Linked DNA regions of Mus musculus: region 1 is reported to be linked to region 2. Evidence: microRNA targets listed by miRTarBase, many of them from high-throughput screens and not tested one by one. Region 2 holds a microRNA gene; the other region holds the end of a gene's coding sequence.
What was found. Region 2 holds the annotated microRNA mmu-miR-1224-5p (GUGAGGACUGGGGAGGUGGAG, at 3,594-3,614, shown strand). A microRNA usually pairs through its seed, bases 2 to 8, with sites in the 3' UTR of a target mRNA and lowers its output. Matches are read on the target gene's strand: a 7mer-m8 pairs with bases 2 to 8, a 7mer-A1 pairs with bases 2 to 7 and ends in A, and an 8mer does both.

Region 1 (9,534 bases), not on the chromosome of region 2:
GATGCTCACTACTTGACTCGTCACTACTTAGTCTTTCCTCTTAGGCAATCTCCTGCATAGTCGTTTAAGCTATATGACTGCTCTAATCATCCTCCACACTCAGGCTAACACTCGCCTTACCGTTCTGAAAGTATCAGATGAAGGGAGGGTGACAATTTTTGAAGGTGTAGACTCTTTAGTTCCATGAATACCTGTGTGTTTTTGTCCAAAGTTTTCTTCTGTTAATGAATCTGTACCACACCCCATCACCCCAGGGTGCTGGAGATTGACCGTTGGTCCTTACAGGTGCTAGGCAGATACTTTACTGCTGAGCCATTCAACTGTTAGTTGTTTATTTTGAAAAATGTTTAAAAGTTACAGAAAAGTTGTAGAGATGCCATACTTTTTACCTAGACTAATCACTTCTTACCCACATTTGCATCATTTATTTTGTTCTAAGCAGAACCTTTCATGGTATTACCACCCCTGGGTGGGGGTGGGGGTGGGGGTGGAGAGGTTCTTACCATTCCTAAAGGTCTAAGGAACTTTCCTAAGATCACTGAGCTTGTTGCATTCTCTGTGGTCATGAAGAGTGCTACATCTTTCTACCAGAGTGTAACCTCTCCTCCTTTGGGTGAGTCATTTGACTAGAAACTTGCTCTTGAGACAACTCATGCAATTGATATATGAAATGTGTCCTTTCTGGTTCTTAGTGATTTTCAATTCTGTCCTGCCTATGTTCACAGGTTGACTATGTCATTAAGGAAGCAACTAATCTAGATAACTTGGCTCAGCTGTATGAAGGTTGGACAGCTTGGGTGTGAATGGCAAGACAGTAGATGAGTCTGGTTAAGCGAGGTCAGACATCCACCAGAATCAACTCAGCCTCAGGCATCCAAAGCCACATCACAGTCGGTGGTGATGCATCTGGGGGCTTACTCTGAGGAAACCTAGGAAATCTCGGTGTACTAGGAAGTGAATCCTGCAGGACAGCTGCACTCAGGGATACGCCCAACACCATGGCCAGGGTCAAAGGTGAAGAAAGCAAGCTCACTGCCTGCACACGGAGATTGTCTTTCTGCCACAGAACAGCTGCAAACGTGTCAGGAGGTTAGCTGAGAAAGAAATCGGGCTGCTGCGGAGCACAGAGTGACTTGGAACTCCATTCCACCTGACCCTGTGTGTACAATCCAGGAAAACAAACCCCGCTCAGAAACAAGAGAAAATTGGGGCCGCGAAGAACTCACAGCCACGGAAGAGTTGTTGCATTCAGATTCTTGAGAAACATTTGTTGCTCGGCAACAGTACTGGTTGGGTTGACCAGTTAAGTACCAAAAGGCTATGCTGTATGAATTTCAGAAATGGACTGAAAAAATGGAGAGCAGTGTAATAGACACACACTACATCGGAAGAACTGACTTCTGAAACGAAGAGAAAAGCACCTATGGATCCCACTCCTTCCCATCGCTTACCTGTTCCCCAGCTCCCCGTTGACCCACCCTGGTAGATTAGCCAGCTGTCAGACTCACTTTTATTTCAATCCTTACACTTCATAAACTTTTGTCTCCACGTTGTTACCATATTTGGAGACAGAAACAGGAGTTTCTCCAAATCCAATGAAAACATGGAAAATTCAAGGATTGTTTAAAGGTCTGTGATCATCACATACAAGATGTAACTCTGGTTATTTCAGTCATATCTGTGACTCTATCATGTACAGTTTCCTGAATTGTCACTGTGCATCCAAACGTAATGAGTCTAACAGACACTGATTTCATGTGCACTCCCCTCTGCTTACAATGTGCATTTTTTGGAGGTCATTCAAATTTTCCCTCTTCTGTGATTGCTGTAGTTTCTTTCATAGAAAGTAGCTGATCTGATGTAATCTTTTACCTTTTAAACAACCAGGATAGAGAACCTATTGGAGTTTGCATTGTTGATGACAGGTTCACAATAAAGTGACGTTCTGGTGGAGGTAGAGTGAAATGTTTTTTAATTCAGTTTTCTCATTTGATACTTTTAATTTACAAAGTAATTTTGTTTTATGTTTTAAAGTGTAAATTAAAAATGCTTTAGTTTACCTGGCATTTGGGTATGCTCAGTAATGCCTGCCAGCAGCACCTTTAATTTCAGCTGGTGGCCTGTGATGGGTTCTGTTTACCTTTTGCAACATTTTATAGCTTGTTTAGTGACTAGTGTGTAGTGAGTCACGATCAAGGCATCCTTCAGCTTAGCATTTTCAGTACTCACTGCTGATCCTTGGTAGAAGTGCAGACTAGAATAGAGCTAAAAATCACGTATCAACACAGAATAGCACATGGTATTTTGAGTCTTTTTATCCCCCCCCCCCCCCCTGCATTTTAGCAACTAGTGTGGCGGCCACTTAATTTGCCAGCCTCTCCAAGCCTGAAAAGGTCCAGGTGTCTAAGCTCTTCTCTGACTGCAACGAGTTGAATTCTAATCCTCACAGGATGGATGCCAGTGTCGGCACTTTCTTAATTATGAGTATTGAAAGGTGCTGTTTTCAGTCTCCACATGTCTGCTGACAAGTTAAAGAATCTAGCATATCGCATTTGGTTTTACTTGTTGATTTTGAGCCTTATTGTCACAAAACAGCCTAGCTGGAATATTGATGCCATACTATATTTTGCATGCTATTTTCTTCCCTAGAGGCATTGAGGGCAATTGCACTTTGGCTCTCTCAAGATGTGTCATTTTCAGACATTCTTCATGTCAGAAGAGCTTTTGTTGTAAGGAGAAAACCAGCTCAGACTTTTGTCCCTGTAGGTGATGGTAGTGGTCAGAAATGGCTTTTGCTTTGGTAATAAGTGAATTTTATTCCCCAAGAGTCTCAGGCATCAGAAGTACTTGGCATCTTAATCCAAGCAAAAATAAGACAGCTTAAAAAACAACCAAAAAAAATGTGCCTCTGGTGAATTATCCATCCTTTTTTTAAAATGTTAAACTGGTCTTTGAGAAAAGAATAGTGCAGATAAGAGCAGCCAAGGACTTCAAAGCTTGTTGATCACTGCACTCTGGATAAAACCCTTGGCTTCCTGTTCAAATAGCCTTTCCAGGTTTAACTTCTTTAAGGAGCCTCAAGTGAAAAAAACAAAAACAAAACAAAAAACCCAGGGCCACTGGGGGAATGTTTTATGAAATCATGTAGAGTGCTGTAGTTTTGAAGTCATCCGTTTTTTGATGACAAAGTACCTGTGGAAAACCAGGGATATTTTTTTTTCCTCAACTTCTTCTCTTTACTCCCTACCCCTCTCCTCCCTAATTCTGTCTTCCTTCTCTCCACTCTTTTAAGATTCAGAGGGTACAGAACAACCTCTATTATTTCAGAGTACCCTTGAGAATTGAAATGTATTTCGATTAGTTGTCTTTAATTAGCTAGCTAGAGTCAGTTGATATCTCTACCAAGCTGAAGCCTAGTACCTACGAAGCTATTTCTTTACCAAAGTCTCTTGCTTCTGCTTATGGTCGTGAGCTGATCACGCAGTTTGCTAGATGATTTGACACTGGTGGTGAGTTCTTTTGAGGCGTGAGATTTCTATGTGAAACTGATAGGTCTTGATCTGCTTTCTTAGATCACTGATTCAGAGCTCAAAGCCCAGGTTCAGGGTAAGAATTTGTAATACAGAAGAAGAAAGACTCCCTTCACTTTGCCCTTAACACTTGCCTCTGTTATCTAAGCTTCGTTAATAGATTTCTTAATATCATCCAATGTTTGGTGTTATCTGCATTGTTTTTTTTTTTAAATTGTGGTTGTTCTGATGTGTGAAATTTAAGGAAAGAGCCATTTAATAAATGCCAAGCAGGGCAATGCAGCCAAATATTAGAGTTGATGTGCAGTCTTAGGTCCTTTTTAATCTGGGGTATTACAGGCAGTACTTTAAATCAGAGTCTTCCTGGCCTTTTTCCCTCCACCTTTTTGTAGTTACTCGGGGGCTTACTTGTGCAGTACTAAAATCAAAGGAGCTGGTTCTTCTTTTCTCCCAATCTTTTCTTAGTAATGAACACACCTACAACTAGCCTGCCACTCCCAATCACACACAGCAGATGTCAGTGCTGTGCTAATATTAGCTGCATTTCCTGCAGGGCAGGGATGCGACCTTGCACATGCTAGGCAAGCTCTCTACCCTGAGCTACGTACATCCTAGCCCTTAGAACTACCACCCTGAAGCATCTTTGTTTCCTGTGTTCAGACGCAGACGAAGACCAACATTGTTTTATATGTTGAATTTATAAAATGCTAGTAATTTAGAACCCTCCCCCCAAATCAAGGAGGCAAAAAATAACGCACTAGTCACTGAAGTTCATCCTCAGTTACCTCGATAGGGTAGGTAGATTCCTAATAGTGCTGGTGAGCATCACAATGCTGTGCAAAGATTCAAGAGGAGGCAGTCACTGTACTTTGCCTGCTTTTGGGCCTAGATAACGTCACTGTCTACAAAAAGCTAACTGCTTAGGTTTGAAAAGGCAACCATGTAGAGAAAACTTGACAATTGGGGCTCATTGGGAAGTTCTAGTGCTAATGTTAAAAACTCAAATCAGCTGGCTATTTGAAGATGGCAAAGAATATAGTTCTGAAATTTTATTTTTCCACAACAGGGTGATTGGCAGTGGTTGTTCTCCCTTTTTCTGACAGTGTGGTTCAGCTCCTGTTTCAGATTCTGTGTCATTTTTCAATTTACAAGTCACTTAAGTTTCTACCTGGAATGTCAGGTGGCAATGACATCACATTTTGTGTTTTTTTTTTTTTTAAACTCTTATTTAAGAGTAAGTTGAGTTGAACTGAATCTTCCTTGTCTTAGTAACATTGTACAAATAGTGGCTTATTTTTAAGTTGTAATGCCTCCTGATGGATATAATTTTGTGCTTGTATTTAAGATTAAAAGTTGAATAAATAACACCAGCTTCCTGAAAATGTCCATAATGCATCATTTGAAAAACAAAAACACCTGCCTACTTTACATTAACATGGTAAAGATTGTATGAAATACCTGTTTTTCAAAAAAATAAAAATAAAGGTTCAAGTCTTAAAAAGATAACAGTATCTAAGCTCTGAATTTATTGAAGTAGATCCCAGAAAGTTTGTTTTGCAATAGTTTTGTGGCTTTTTTTTTTCATATTATCTCTCCAAATTAAAAAAATTTCTTAAAAAATGTTTTACTCCCTTTTGAACAGCGAGTTAATTATTTCAGTAGGAAAGTTCTTAGATAAGAATCGACACCTTCAATCCCAGGGGAGGCAAGGATAGGTGGAATTTCTAGGCGAATCTGGTTTATAAAGCAAGTTTCAGGACAGCCAGGATTACACAGAAAATGCATGAAGCTTAATTTTAGCAATATTTAAAACAAAACTGCAGAGCCTTAATTGTGAGTGAAAGCTCTGAAAGAAGAAGAGTATTTGCAAAGATCTTCTTCATTTGCAGTGCCAAAGTTCTGAGGAAGATTTGTGTTACGAGCTTCATCTTCTGACACATTTCAAAAGGTCACTTTGTGGTAGAAAAAGAGGTGTTTGTAACCTCTGAGCCATTTGGAAGGTTAGTGAGAGCTGGATTGGGACCTGGGACTGGCCTAAACTTAAATTTTACTTTGGGAACACCGACTAAACTAAGCTTTCTGGGGCAGTAGCCAAGTTGCCAAGGAAAAACTTATTACTCTGCCCTCTCTTAGCAAAGTGACTGCTCCTGGTACCACCAAGATGGGCACCTCATTGCTTGGTAGCAGCTGTTTGGGTCCTTTTGTTCTCAATACTGAGGAGAAGGAGGGAATTCCAGGCTTTACAATTTTTGACATGATTTCTGTATCAACCGAAGTCATAATATCCCCCCCCCGCCCCGCCCACACACAATGAGCGTCCTTCCTGGTCAAAACTGTTGTCTGTACCTTCTAGTACTTTCCACAAGTTCTATGACAAATTGTATGCCCCTTTGACAGAGCCACCATAGGCCAGGAAGGGACCAGGCATATTTAGGAGCACTATGTGATCTCTCACATTTCTCTTTAACCTCCAAGGCCTTTAAAGAACCTGGGAATTAAGGAACGAAGTGTTTTTAAAAATAATTTAAAATTAGTTGAAGGTCGTATTTAGCCTGGCTTCCCCATACATCCATTAATCTATCAGTCTGAAGCCCTCCAACATCCGAATTGCTCCTCTACTCATCCATCCCTCCGAATGAAGCGCTCCCCTAGCTACCTGAAGTACTCATAGATTATCAAGTGAAGCACCCCGCAAATGATTCCCCCAAAAACTGGCTGCAAATGAAGCCCTTTAAGAGTTTGTGCATCTTCCATGTTCTCCAAAGGCCAGAGCTGGGGAGAAGGCACAGACAGCGCTCACTTGGGGCAGCCAATACTTCAGTCAGCAGGTGCCACAGCAACCTAAAGCGTCCTTGCCCTTCCAGCCTCCGCATAGGATGCCATTGCGCATCCCCTGCGCAGCTGAGCGGACAGGCGCCTGAGCGGTTTTGATTTCCAGCAGAAGAGCTAGGGACTAGAGAGGCCCCAGGATTTAGGAAGATCTGGGTGAGAGACTAGGTACGGCGGTTGAACCGCTTCCTTCCGCTCCGCCTCTCGAGGGCCACACCCCTGCACTCTGATTGGTCAGAGTCTTTCAGTTTCGCTCTCCTTTGACCTGGATTTCAAGTCATGCGCTAGCTGCCGGTTGGCCCGACTTCCCAGAAGCCGGAGTGCGGTCTACCCAATGAGGAGCGAGTTTCGCGAGGGCTGTCGGGAAAGGCAGCTAGCCTATATAAGCAGACTGCGGGGCGTTCCCCCGCGCTCGGGTTGCCTTGCTGGTGTTGGGGGGATAGTGTGTGTTCGCTCGTTGATAACCGCGAGTCTGGAACGATGGCGGAGGGGGATAACCGCAGCAGCAACCTGCTGGTGAGTTGCGGTGGTCAGTCTGTCCCCGGAGTTTCCGGATGGGCCTCCTGGCCTCGGTGGACTACCAGGGACAGCCAGGCCTTATCTCCACGGTGGAGGTCGCTGCTGGCGATCCCCAACGTCCCCCGGAATCCTGCACCATAAGGCTTGGGCCGTGCGTGAGGAAGTGTGAGAAGGGGGCTGTGGCAAGAAGGAACCTGGGTAACAGGTTGGGGCACTCGGCCGCCAGGGGCCTTGTCTAGCGCTCCGGCTCAGGCCGGAGACCTACCTGTTTTGCCCTTTGATCTTAATCTCATGTTCCGTAGATTATTTTTAATCATGATTCTTTTTCTCCTAAAACTTGGCGCAAGGGTGGAGGGTCAAAGGGCTGCTACAGAGAATTAGTTTATCGCTGACACAGAATTTGTTGGAGCTGGCTGGTTGGAGTTCACCGCAGGAAGCTGAAAACGGGTTCTGCGGAAAGGACAGTGGGGGATCCTGGCACTTGTCTGGGAACTGGCGAGGGACTCACGGGACTGGATGCAACTTTAAAAATGATTTAGCACGGATTTGACGGAGCTACACGAGATGATGGTATTAGAAGAGGGCGCGTTTGCTTCATTACAGGTCTTTGTTTTTGGTTAGGTCTTTGTTTTTGGTTTTTAAGGCTAGGTTTTCGTGTAGCTTGACGAGGCTAGCCTTGTATTTGTCATCCTCCTGTGCTGGGATTACAGTTGCGCATCACCAGGCCCTGCTAGTTTCAAATTTTTAACTGCATCACCCACCTAGGCAAGAACGAAAGATCTTTTTTTTTTTTTTTCTGTATTGTCATTCCCCAGAAAAGGCAGGCCATATCAGAAATGAAAAAAGCAATCAGCTTTTAATGCCTGCCTTTTTAACTGCTAAGTGCCGACAAGATTCTTCGGGACAGTTTTGATTAGTGCAAGATTTTCAGTTTGTATTTGTGTTTAGAGGTGCATTCCCTGTATCCTTAAATTCCCTACACACACACACACACACACACACACACACACAGTACCATACAATAGAGATGCTTACCCTGTACCCTTAAACTCCTCCTACACAATACCAGCAAACAATTCAATAAGAGGATTAATTGCTGTACAAGGAAACTATCATGGGAGAGGGCCTGATCACTACTATTTCCATCATTTTAAGGAGAGCAAGTCCATTAGTCTTGGATTTCCTGGATTTAAATATATTAACCCCTTTATGTCTCAGTCGCCTTATCTTAAAGTAGAGGTTGTGAGAATACCTTTTCCAGTTTTTTTGGAGCGTCAATTGAAGTATAACATGTAAAATGTTTAGGATTTCTAGTATGGGGAGATGTCAAAAGTACTTAGTCACATATCTCATCTTTATTAAAATTAGCCTGAACTGTTCTATATTTGCATATTCCTTTGTGAAGAGTTGATAGTGTCAGTTGGGCATTGTGTGTATGTAGTTCCTGGATGTTGAATCCAGAGTTCTGCACAAACAGGTTCTAAATACCTTCCGTTACCAAAGTCCCTGATAGGTTCAGGTCACAGTAGCCCATGGTAAAGGTGTGCTTTTGGCTAGTTGTCACATATGCAGAAAAATTTTGAGATTTAATTGAAATTCTATCATTAATGATGAGGAGCCATTAAGTGCTGAGCTCACATAGTTTGGTTGAAAGAGTTTTCTTTAATTCCACAGTGACTGCCAACATCAGAGTCATTCCATTATACAAAGCTATTTTAGAGATTTATGTACTTAGTGTTAAGGGAAAGGTTCTCCTGATGGATTTAGAAGGACTTCAATCAATAAAACGGCCAATCGACAGATCAATGCCAACCACCTGAAATGGGCAAACAGAATATTCAATCTAGTAATATTCTGAGCACTGCCTCTTGGCTCTGTGGCTGCATTTGGGGATATTAGTTTCCCATATTAAGCTCACTTTCATGAATATTGAAATAAATTGTGAAATCTTGGGAATATTATTATACATCATGGACATATGGCCCAGTGCTAAAATGACCATTAAAGCCTAGGCTTTTTCCTACCCATGGATTTTCATATTTGGTGCCAAAATTGCAGGTTTTCATGACTCACCTTGTTTAAGATAACAGTTTTGTAAAAGGCATTTTACGTGTTTTTGATGCCTGAGAAAGTACTCTCTGAGCCACCAAAGTGTTGAGATTGGCAAAGTAACAGTCTTAACTGTTGATCATGTGTAGGCCGTGGAGACTGCAAGTCTTGAAGAGCAGCTGCAAGGCTGGGGAGAGGTGATGCTGATGGCTGACAAAGTCCTTCGATGGGAAAGAGCCTGGTTTCCACCTGCCATCATGGGTGTGGTTTCCCTGCTGTTCCTGTAAGTGAGATTCTATTGCTAATGCTCAGAGGGTTCATAGCCTGTGCTTAGAGAAGCTTTTGTAATACATAATCCAAAAGGAATGCCTTTATTGCAAGCAGCTTGCCCTCTTTCTAGATTTGTAGTCCTTATGTAAAGTTGTAACTTGATGCAGTTGAGTAAATCCCGGACACGCAAACTCTTGTGTTTCAGCACTCTTGCTTTATTATATTCCTTCTAGTAAATTTTGAGGACCCAGCTGGGCGTGGTGGCGCACGCCTTTAATCCCAGCACTGGGGAGGCAGAGGCAGGCAGATTTCTGAGTTCGAGGCCAGCCTGGGCTGC
Region 2 (10,066 bases):
CTGGGCCCATTCTCCTGCTTTCCAGCAGGTATGGAAGCTCTGACAGACCCAGTCATGGATCCTGGACCTAATCCCTCATCTGACACAGCTATATGGCGGCGCATCTTCCAGTCCTCATACATCCGGGAGCAGTATGTGCTTACCCACTGCTCTGCCAGCCCTGAGCCAGGCCCAGGCTCCACCTGCAGTAGCGAGTCCCCAGGTTCCCAAGGCCCTGGCTCCCCCAGTGGTAGCCGTCCCCTGGATCCCCCTTCTCAGCAGGGCTGCCGAAGCCTGGCCTGGGTAGAACCTGCAGGCTCCCGCTCCTGCCCCCTGCCTGTACCCCCACCATCTCCATTCAAGGTGAGATTTCATCCGTCATGTAACCATCATATATATATATATATATGTATATGTATATATGATTGGATGGTTACATACATATATATATATGATGTCACAACCAGTAATGAACACAGGACCGTGGTATTATGGGCGCTCAGTCAGAATGACTGTCAGACGGAGTTAGGAAAGTAAGGTGTGTCGGGGAGAATAAGCAAGTTAAAAAACAATGACGATATAAAGAGAGAGTCAAGAAACAACCTGAAGTGGGAAATACAATGAGATGACAAGACTTATGGGTAGCTGAAAGTCTGTGGTGGCTAGAAACAGCATTCCTTGACCAGTGACCTCCCATCTCTCACACGCAGGTGGGAGCCATGAGCGCTGAGGTGCTGGGCCGTCGGCAAAGAGCAGCTCTGGCTGGTCGAAGTCTCTCATCTCCCTCAGGCCGGGCAAACCCAGTCCCCGGAAGAGCCCGGCACCCCTCTCTAGATGCAATACCAGATGGATTAGGCCCTGAGCCAGGACAACAGCTGGGTCAGGGCCTCGATGATTCAGGTAAGGGTTGGATGGGACGCTGGTTTTCTGACACCAAAGATGTGGGAAAATGGAGCACAGTTCACCATGTTGCCTATACCCCTGACATCTCTCCCCAGGAAACCTGCTCTCCCCAGCCCCCTTGGACTGGGATATGTTGATGGAACCATCTTTCTTATTCAAGCCTGTGCCGTCCAGTGCGGAATCAGCTCCTCCAGCAGAATGTCTGCCTCCTCAGGCTCCACGTTGCCACGTGGTGATCCGGGCCCTGTGTGGGGAACAGCCAATGTGCTGGGAGGTGGGTGTTGGGCTGGAAGAACTCTGGGGTCCTGGGGATGGCTCCCAGCCTGAATCACTTCCGATGAGAGAAGCTGCGTGGGATCAGGCACTCCACCGGCTGACAGCAGCCTCTGTGGTCCAGGACAATGAACAGCTGGCTCTCCGTGGAAGAGCTGAAACCAGGGCTGAGCAGGGTAAGTTTCTAACCGACACACCCCAGGTACAAAGGCTTTAAACAGAACACGGTGAAGGTACATATCTGTGTTAATCAGCCTGTTCCTTACTTTGTCACAAAGGATTTGAGGTGATTCATAATACAAAGTAAGAAACTTAGCAGAGAAATGAGAAAGAGTGAAAACAAAGGAAACCAAGGCTGGAGAGATGGCTCAGTGGTTAAGAGCACTGACTGTTCTAGAGGACCCAGGTTCAATTCCCAGTACCCACATGGTGGTTCACAACCATCTGTAACTCCAATTCCAGGGGATCTAACACCCTCTTCTGGCCTCTGTGGGTACCAGTCACATATATAGTACAAAGACATACATGCAGGCAAAATATCCCCACACATAAAAAAAAATGATAAAAGAATATAAAGGAAATATAAATAAAGGTGTATTATAAGATACAAAACCGGGCAGTGGTGGCACACGTCTTTAATCCCAGCACTGGGGAGGCAGAGGCAGGCAGATTTCTGAGTTCAAGGCCAGCCTGGTCTACAGAGTGAGTTCCAGGACAGCCAGGGCTATACAGAGAAACCCTGTCTCGAAAAACCAAAAGGGGTGGAGGCGAGAAAGAAAGAAAAAGAAAAGAAAACAGTCACATGTGCATGATGCAGACAAAACATTTTTCTAACTGCAGGAAGTTCTGGATAGTGCTGAAATGAGTGGTAGGCAGTGTGTATGGTGCTGGCTGTGGCGGCACATGCATAAAACTCACAGCTTTAACTAAGCATCTATTATGCAATAAGTCTGAGAGTTCTGGGCCAATCTAGGTTATATGTAACTATGGTGTGACCCTGTCAAAATAAAGTCCTGTGGAGGGGCCACACACTACCCTTGGGTACTCTAAAGTTTGCCTGTGCCGGACCCACTTCCCAGATTTAAGTCAAAAAAAAAAAAAAAAGAAAAAAGAAAGAGAGAGAGAGAGAGAGAGAGAGAGAGAGAGAGAGAGAGAGAGAGAGAGAAAGAGAAAAGACAGACAGCAAGCTAGGCATGGGTGTGATGGTGCATACCCATAATCTCAACACTGTGGTAGCAGAGGCAGGAGGATCGTTCCAGACCACCAAATTTCTGGGTTTCTAGGGGGCTTCTGGTTCTACTGTAGGCTGAGAGTTCAGTCTATTTCTTGTCAAAGTTGGGAAGATTTGGTTCAGGACCAAACATGGCTATCTACCATGTTTATAGGGGACAGGGGAAGCTGTGGGGATCATTCTAGTATTTTTTTTTTTTTAGACAGGGTATCATGTAGTCCTGGCTGGCTTGGAACTCACAGATACTGGCCTGCTTTGGCCTCTGAAGTGCTGGGATTTAAGCCACCATGTTTGGCTTTACAGCATTTTGTTTGTTTAATTTACATCCCAGTGCTTACAGCCCACCCTATCTTCCCAGTCCCACCCCTCCCTCATCACCCCCTCCCCTTCTCTGAGGACTTGTCTGAAGGGGAAGCCCTCCTTGGGTATCACTCCACCCTGAGATATCTGGTCCCAGCAGGACTAACCTGGTAATCCAATGGCAGGGAACAGAGACCAAGACACCCTTCACTCTGCTTATTAAGGGAACCACATTTTCCAGCATTTTTTATGCAGCTTTCTATAGATAGTGAGAGTTGAGCTCCATACTGCTTTGATTTACAGGCAGAGTCAGAAGGTCCTGGCTCAGAGCCATTCAGACAAGCAAGGTCAGCTCTGCCCCATCCTGTTTTACCTGCCCTGTTGCTGTAGATGCTACCACTAGGGAGGTATTGCCTGGAGCCCTGCAGGTGTGGAGTTCAGGTATGGTCCTTCTCTGATGACCTCTAAGGTGTGACACTCACCTCACTGGCAAGCCAGTGGGACTGACTCTACTCTTACAGATCCAGCTGAGCTCTCAGGCATGTCTGCCTCTCAAGACCAGCTAGCTGCCGCTCCTCTGTCCACAGCAGTCCACTCTAAAGGTAGGGCTCAAATGCAGTGGATTGGGCACAGATGGGCTTTGGACCACTTGCTGGTACTGGGTGACCCTACTGTAGGACATCAGGGAGGCTGTTCTGCAGGTGCCTGGGACCTGGACCTAAATGACAACTCCAAGTCAGCATTGGGGGAGCCCATATCTCCTACTGGAGATCATCATGGCTTGCCCCACCAGCCTCCAGCCTCTTCCAGGCTCAGCCTGGGTCGTCATCGAAGACTCTGCAGCTCCAATAAGGGCCAGACTCATGAGAACAGCAATGACGGCAGCAACCATGACTACCTGCCTCTGGTGAGGACTGGGGAGGTGGAGGGTAGCATCATTAGAGCCAGAGCTCTGTCTCAGCTCCCTCTCCCCCCACCTCTTCTCTCCTCAGGTACGACTGCAAGAGGCACCAGGCTCCTTCCGCCTGGATGAACCCTTCTGTGCTGCTGTGTGCATTCCTCAAGAACGCCTGTGTCGAGCCTCGCCCTTTGCCGCACACCGTGCCAGCCTCAGCCCCACCTCAGCATCATCTCCTTGGGCATTTCTGAGCCCTGGTATTGGCCAAGGTGACAGTGCCACAGCCTCCTGCAGCCAGTCCCCCAGCTCAGGTTCTGAGGGTCCAGGCCAGGTAGACAGTGGGAGGGGCTCAGATACTGAGGCCTCAGAAGGAATGGAAAGGCAGGACAGCTCTGATCTTCGTGGGCGCACTTGGGCCACAGCTGTGGCCCTGGCGTGGCTGGAACACCGCTGTGCAGCTGCCTTTGGCGAGTGGGAACTGACAGCTTCCAAAGCTGATTGCTGGCTGAGAGCCCAACACCTGCCAGACGGACTTGATCTGACTGCTCTTAAAGCTGCTGCCCGGGGGCTCTTTCTGTTACTGCGACACTGGGACCAGAATCTGCAGCTACACTTGCTGTGTTACAGCCCTTCGAATGTGTAAGGCTGCTTGCAGCTCTGGCTAGCGACCCCCAACACAGTCACTGCCACCCAGGGCCAGTCTCTTGGTGCTGGGAAAGAATAAGTTGGTGTCTGCCGTCCTCCATTGCTTCACATACACACACACACACACCCCTCCCAACATTCTTGTCACCACAGAAAGTGCCTGCCTGTGCTCTCTTCTCTCTCCTCCCACTCCATACCCCCTCCTATGTGCTCTGAGCTCTCTATAGGATAATGGAAGAGGAGAGAGCTACGGTCCCAAATCCTATGCAATAAAGTGCCTCTTAAGACTGCCTGATGAGTTGTTCGTTTCCATGTTGGGAAGATGCACTTCATAGCTTGGTGTAGGCACGAGCAACCACTAACTTTATGTATGCTGCACAAAGGTGGACTTGGCAAGGTTTATTCTAAGAACACAGAGTCCGTTCCACCCATGATGCTGAGCACGTCCTAGAAGGAAGGGGTGGGTTTCAGTGAGTTTTCCTGCTTGGCTGAATGCTCTTAGGGAAGGACTCGGGGGACAGCCAGAGCTGCAGCAGGACGACAGCGTGGCACAGGTGGAGGGCGGCAGAGCTGAAGGACGTGGATGGGTACGTATTCCAGGAGAGCTCAATGAGTCCCAGCACCAGCAACCTGGGAATGAGAAACGGGTCCCAGCCATTTCAAGGTCAGCACGCCCTACGCCATCCACCCATCCACCCCATGCCCTTCTGTGGTTTCAGCTGTGAGGAGACCCCGAGCCCTTCTCCAACCCTTCCAGGTTGTCCCAGCTAGTACCTGAGCAGGTGTGTGAGCCAGCGTGCAGGCATGGCCCACAGGAGGTAGGGCAGTGTGTGGAAATACCAGACATAAAACTGGTAGTGGAGCGAGCGGCTAAAGCAGATGCCAATGAAGTTGGAGGTGAAGAGGATGGAAACAATCTGTGATGTGATGGTTAAGGCTTTGGGTAGAAATGGAGGGCAGTAGGGGTGGGGTGGGGGTAAGGGTTTAAAGTTCTGGGGTAAGAGCACCCTATTCTGCCTTCCATGCACGCTTCAGATAAGCTTTCTAGCCTCTCTGGATCTGGTCCTCGGTTTAGTAGGGAGAGAGGGATGCATGAGACTGTAAAGCCTGAGGAGTCTGAATCCCTTACATTCTAACCTTAATCCTTCCTTCTGTAAAATTAATATGCGTACTTCCCCTGACTCAGGTGGACTTTGCATGGGAGGGAATGTGGACTCTTAGGACGATACCAAGAGTGCACGGTTTTACAATGCTGGACTTACGGTTAAGCTGGGCTGAGATGTGTAGGGTGCTCAGTGCAGTGTTTGCTGCAGAGGACAGGACCTATGACTGGGCTCGGGCCTCTTCCTGTGGTAGCTTGCTATCTCAGGCCAACAGACTAAGACTCTATCTGCACTTGGAGAGATCAAAACTTGTCTTTCCGTGATTTAAAGGATATGGTTAGGTGTGAGGGCTTGGGGTGGAACTTTCCTTTTGGAAGGATCCTTCAGCAGTGCCAGAATACTTTCCCCTGTTCTGAAGAGAAGTCATTCGGACATTTATCAAGGCCCCGTTGTGTGCCAAATCCTAGATTAGCCACCATGAACTTAACACTTCCTCCAAGCAGCTCCGAAGAGCTGAGCTCTCCACTCCGTCCCATGAACCTTCCCATGATATTAACCCTGTTTCTTACCTGTGCCACCTACAGAGGGCAAACAGCAAGAGGAGGCTAAGGTGGGCAGCCAACAGGGCTAGATGGAAGGCACGATGCAGGAAGATGGTTTCAGGCAGGAAGCGCCAGTTTACTGTCCATTGGAAAAGAAACTGACGACCAAGGTCAAAGGAGCGGGATAGGTAGCCAATGGGGTTCTCCAGCAGGAAGGGCAATCCCAGCACCACCTGGGAATGGGTGAAGCCAGCAGAGCTGCTTAGGCTTGCCACAGCCTTCAGGGTAGTCACTTAGGAGAGCATAGTGAGAGAGGAAGCCTCAAAAGCTCCTTTATTTCCACAAGGAGTAGCCGGAAAGCCTCCCCACTCTCACCCCCTGCTAGAGCCTGACACCACAGAGGCACAGGAGGGGGTTGATCACACTGCCTTTCTCAAGAGTTCGCCAAATCGTGGGCGGCTCAGTTGTTAAGAGCATTCGTTGCTCTTCCGGAGGTGCTGAGTTTAACCCCCAGCAACCACATGGTAGCTCATGGCTATCTGTAATGGGGTCTGATCTTTTTCTGTCATGCAGGCACACATGCAAATTGAGCTCTCATTCACATAAACAAACAAACAAACAAACAAACCTTTAAAAAAATCTTGAAAAAATTTTCACCTGATTGTGTGTGTGTGTTTGAAGGGGGAAGGAGGTATTTAGAGAGAGAGTCTCACTATGTAGTCCTGGCTGGCCTGGCATTTGTTATGTAGACCAGGGTGCCCTGAACTCAGAGACCTCCCAAGTGCTAGGGTTAAAGATGTGTACCACCATGCCTAGCTAGTTGATCAGGTCTTAAGCAAGCAGCTTTAGGAAGGCTCTGAGAGGCCTGCCAAGTTCAGTAGCCGTGGGATCTAAAGTGGCTGCCCAGTGAAAGCAACAACTCCAAACTCTTGTCTGTTGGCTTTTGAGAAAGCCCTAAGAGATTTAAGGAGATCCGTCTCTTCGGTAAGGGGAGGCCCTTTCTCACCAGTAAGGGCAGGATAGACAGTTACCTGAAGAGCAGCACAGATGGCCAGCTTGGGGAGGGCACCACGGAAGCCAAACTGAGTAAGAAGAAGGAATAGCAATCCCGGGGCGAAGAGCAGCACATTCATCTTCACCGAGACAGCCAGGCTGAAATGGACAAAGGACAGGAAAAGTCCAGGGTCAGCTCCAGGACTGGGTGCCCCTTGGAACGACACCCCACCTCCCCCACAGATCTTCTCCTCAGGTTATTAAGTGCCAGGATGTGGTCTCTATCCAGAACTGTTAGAGGAGCACAGATGGCCTGAGAGGAGGCTGGGAAGAAGGGAATAATACCTGTCCCTCTGTCCAGACTAAATGGACATGTACAGATTGACATACTTAAGGGCCAACCCCAACATGGATGCCATCTGGGATAAACATAGGAAGAAAGCATGAGGAAAGGAACTTTCTACAGACCCTTGACTTGTTCAGGGCGGCCAGAGTGACCTACAGTAACTAACCACTCTCTTTTTTCCCCCTAAGTCAGGGTTTCTCTGTGTAGCCCTGGCTGTCCTGGAACTCACTCTGTAGACAAGGCTGGCCTTGAACTCAGAAATCCGCTTGCCTCTGCCTCCCAAGTGCTGGGATTAAAGGCATGCGCCACCACTGCCTGGCTATCTAACCACTCTTGATGTCCTCTCCTGCAGAACATTGGGAAGATATGGAAATGTGACTGGGGGGTGGGGGGGCAGAAGGAAAAGGCTCTGACCTGAAACAGCAGCAGCCCCAGCTCCAGCACTGTGCCAGGAAAAGGTTGATGCTCAGGAAGAGCAAGGCCATAGCTACTGGGTCATTGAAGAGCCGCAGTACAAAGATGGAATGGACACGGTAAGAGGCACAACACATGAAGAAAAAGACGAAGGGAGGTACCTAAAGGGTGGGCACCAACGTCAGCTCCCCAAACCTGAGCCACCCCCACCACCCACTTCAGGCCAGGGCCAGTTGGTCCTGTGGCATCAACTCACCTTGGAGGTCTGGTGGTATATCAAGAAAACAAGCACCAAGGTGACAAGGTAGAGTACAGCAAAGATGTTCTGGGCCATAGGGATATCAGTGCCCCGGTCAGTAGCATAGAATAGCCCCGTAAAGATGTACAAAAACCCAGCTGGGTAGCTGGAAGATGAAAGGAAATATGAGCCTAGGGCAGGACTATCAGCCTGGTACCCACCCAGCCCTTCACAATGCCTTCAGACTTCCTATCCTCACTCACACAAGAGGTCCGGTGTCACCCTGCAGCTGTGTGTAGTCATATGTGCCATTGATGAAACCCTCCACCTGGGCCATGTAGGCCTTCCAGTCAATCTCTGTGTCTGGAAGAAGATAACATGGTCTCGTTCCTTCTGAGTCCAGAACTTGCCTACTTCTAAACCCCATGCCTTCAGACCACCAAAGCCCAGAGATTCTACCTCATTCCCAGGTTTCTCCCATTATCGTCCCTGATGTAACCACACCTACGGCATTCTCTGGGTGAACCCATATATTTCGTCTGTGTGTTATGTGTGCATGCATATGAAGGTCAGGAGTTGACACTGGTGTCTTCCTCTGTCATTTATATAACAGAGTCTAGCTAGTCAGTTTGCTTCAAGGATCCCTTGTCCTGCCTCTCCAGTGCCGTGATCATAGATGGGTCACCATGCCTGCCTGGCATTTATGCCTAATGCTAGGAATGTGAACTATGGGTCTCACATTTGCATGGTAAATACCACGTGCTAAGCTATCTCCTTAGGCCCATGAATGTGGGTGTCTTAAACTCAAATGTGTAAAACTGATTTTATGATCTTTCTTCCTACTCCAAATTTACTCTTTCCTGTATTCTTCAAGTAGTACTTCTCTCCTTTTCAGTTTGTGTGTGTGTGTGTGTGTGTGTGTGTGTGTGTGTTTACAAGACAGGGTTTCTCTGTATAGCTCTGGCTATCTGGCTGTCCTGGAACTCTGTAGACTAGGCTGGCCTTAAACTCACAGAGATCCACTTGCTTCTGTCTCCCAAGTGCTGGGATAAAGGCGTGTGCCACCACCACCCAGCTTCTTAGTTCTTGAAACAGTCTTGTTCTCTTTCTCTGTCTTGTGTGTGTTCATATGCACATGTGTGGATTCACACATAAGTGAGTGTACATGCATGTGAGTATGAGTGTGGAGGTTAGAGGTTAATGGTGATTCTCTTTCTGGAATGTTCCTCACTCTCATTTTAAGAACAGGGTCTTTATAAGCCAGTTGTGATGGTGTCCACCTTTAATCTCAACAACACTCAGGAGCCAGAAGAAGGCAGATTTCTGTGAGCTTGAGGCCACTGTGGTCTACATAGCAAAGCCAATCAGGGCTACTTAGTGAGACTCTGTTTTGTTTTGTTTTTTTAAAAAAAGACTGATCCTGGAAGACACCAGTACCTAATGGACTTAAAAGGTCACAAAATGCACTCTTTAAAAGGACTTTCAAGACCTAAGAATTAAAAGCATGAAAAATCAGATCTGCGGTGGGAAGTGACTGTCTAAGGCTACAGACAAGCATCAGGAACAGCAGCAGCAACAGCACATTAATTCTGGCCAGAACTTCGTGGCTGCTTATGCTTTCTTAGCAGGCTGAATGTTAAACGCAGGAGGTAATCTCTGGGTAACCTCCCTCCCATATGGGAGAGAGATTATGATCGCTGTTCTGGAAAATGGGCTTGGGTCAGGTAAAGGATATGGGTTTGATCGGTGAATGAAAGCTCTGTAATCTAGTTTGGGTATCCCTCCCTCCCTCCGGTTCTCTCCCCTTCAGTGAACTCACATGCCACCCTGTGAATGACCCAGAAGGTGATGCCCACCTCTGCTATGCAGAGGCAGGAGGCCACCAGCAATGTGTAGCGCGGTTCCCGCAGCAGTAGGTAGCGTTCTTGCCAGGCACGCTGTAGCCATTGTTTCCAGATTCCTGCCGGCTGGCCGACAGAAGCCGGCTGGCCGCGTTTCCGCAGCCCAGCAGCCATCTTGACAGTGCACCACTCTTTTGCTTCCACCACCCGGGAAAACCAACTCTCACACACTAGGTTCCGGTCTCACGCTCTGGGCGTCTTCTCAAACTAAATGCTGAGCCGAGTAACCAGAAGTCTTATTTACTAAAAATCAGTCTGTTAATTAGACTCAGGGAGCTGGAGTTTCTAGGCCAAAATGAT

Region 1: miRTarBase lists Smg1 as a target of mmu-miR-1224-5p. Seed matches in the 3' UTR shown: 7mer-A1 at 3,220-3,226.

What each region holds. Positions count from the first base shown.
Region 1 is chr7:118,126,810-118,136,343 of GRCm38, reverse strand. It overlaps Smg1 (SMG1 homolog, phosphatidylinositol 3-kinase-related kinase (C. elegans)), which reads left to right. Exons shown (of 63, transcript NM_001031814.1): 63 at 726-5,032. The coding sequence ends at 803. It overlaps Arl6ip1 (ADP-ribosylation factor-like 6 interacting protein 1), which reads left to right and starts at 6,719. Exons shown (of 6, transcript NM_019419.2): 1 at 6,719-6,875; 2 at 9,077-9,210. The coding sequence starts at 6,840.
Region 2 is chr16:20,600,859-20,610,924 of GRCm38, forward strand. Mir1224 (microRNA 1224) reads left to right here and starts at 3,594; the gene lies at 3,594-3,678. It overlaps Vwa5b2 (von Willebrand factor A domain containing 5B2), which reads left to right. Exons shown (of 20, transcript NM_001384105.1): 14 at 29-342; 15 at 690-879; 16 at 978-1,331; 17 at 2,990-3,127; 18 at 3,208-3,288; 19 at 3,388-3,593; 20 at 3,679-4,519. The coding sequence ends at 4,227. Alg3 (asparagine-linked glycosylation 3 (alpha-1,3-mannosyltransferase)) reads right to left here and starts at 9,903. Exons shown (of 9, transcript NM_145939.3): 1 at 9,685-9,903; 2 at 8,129-8,228; 3 at 7,884-8,031; 4 at 7,628-7,788; 5 at 6,906-7,026; 6 at 5,902-6,107; 7 at 5,668-5,744; 8 at 5,004-5,148; 9 at 4,600-4,859. The coding sequence starts at 9,880. The coding sequence ends at 4,697.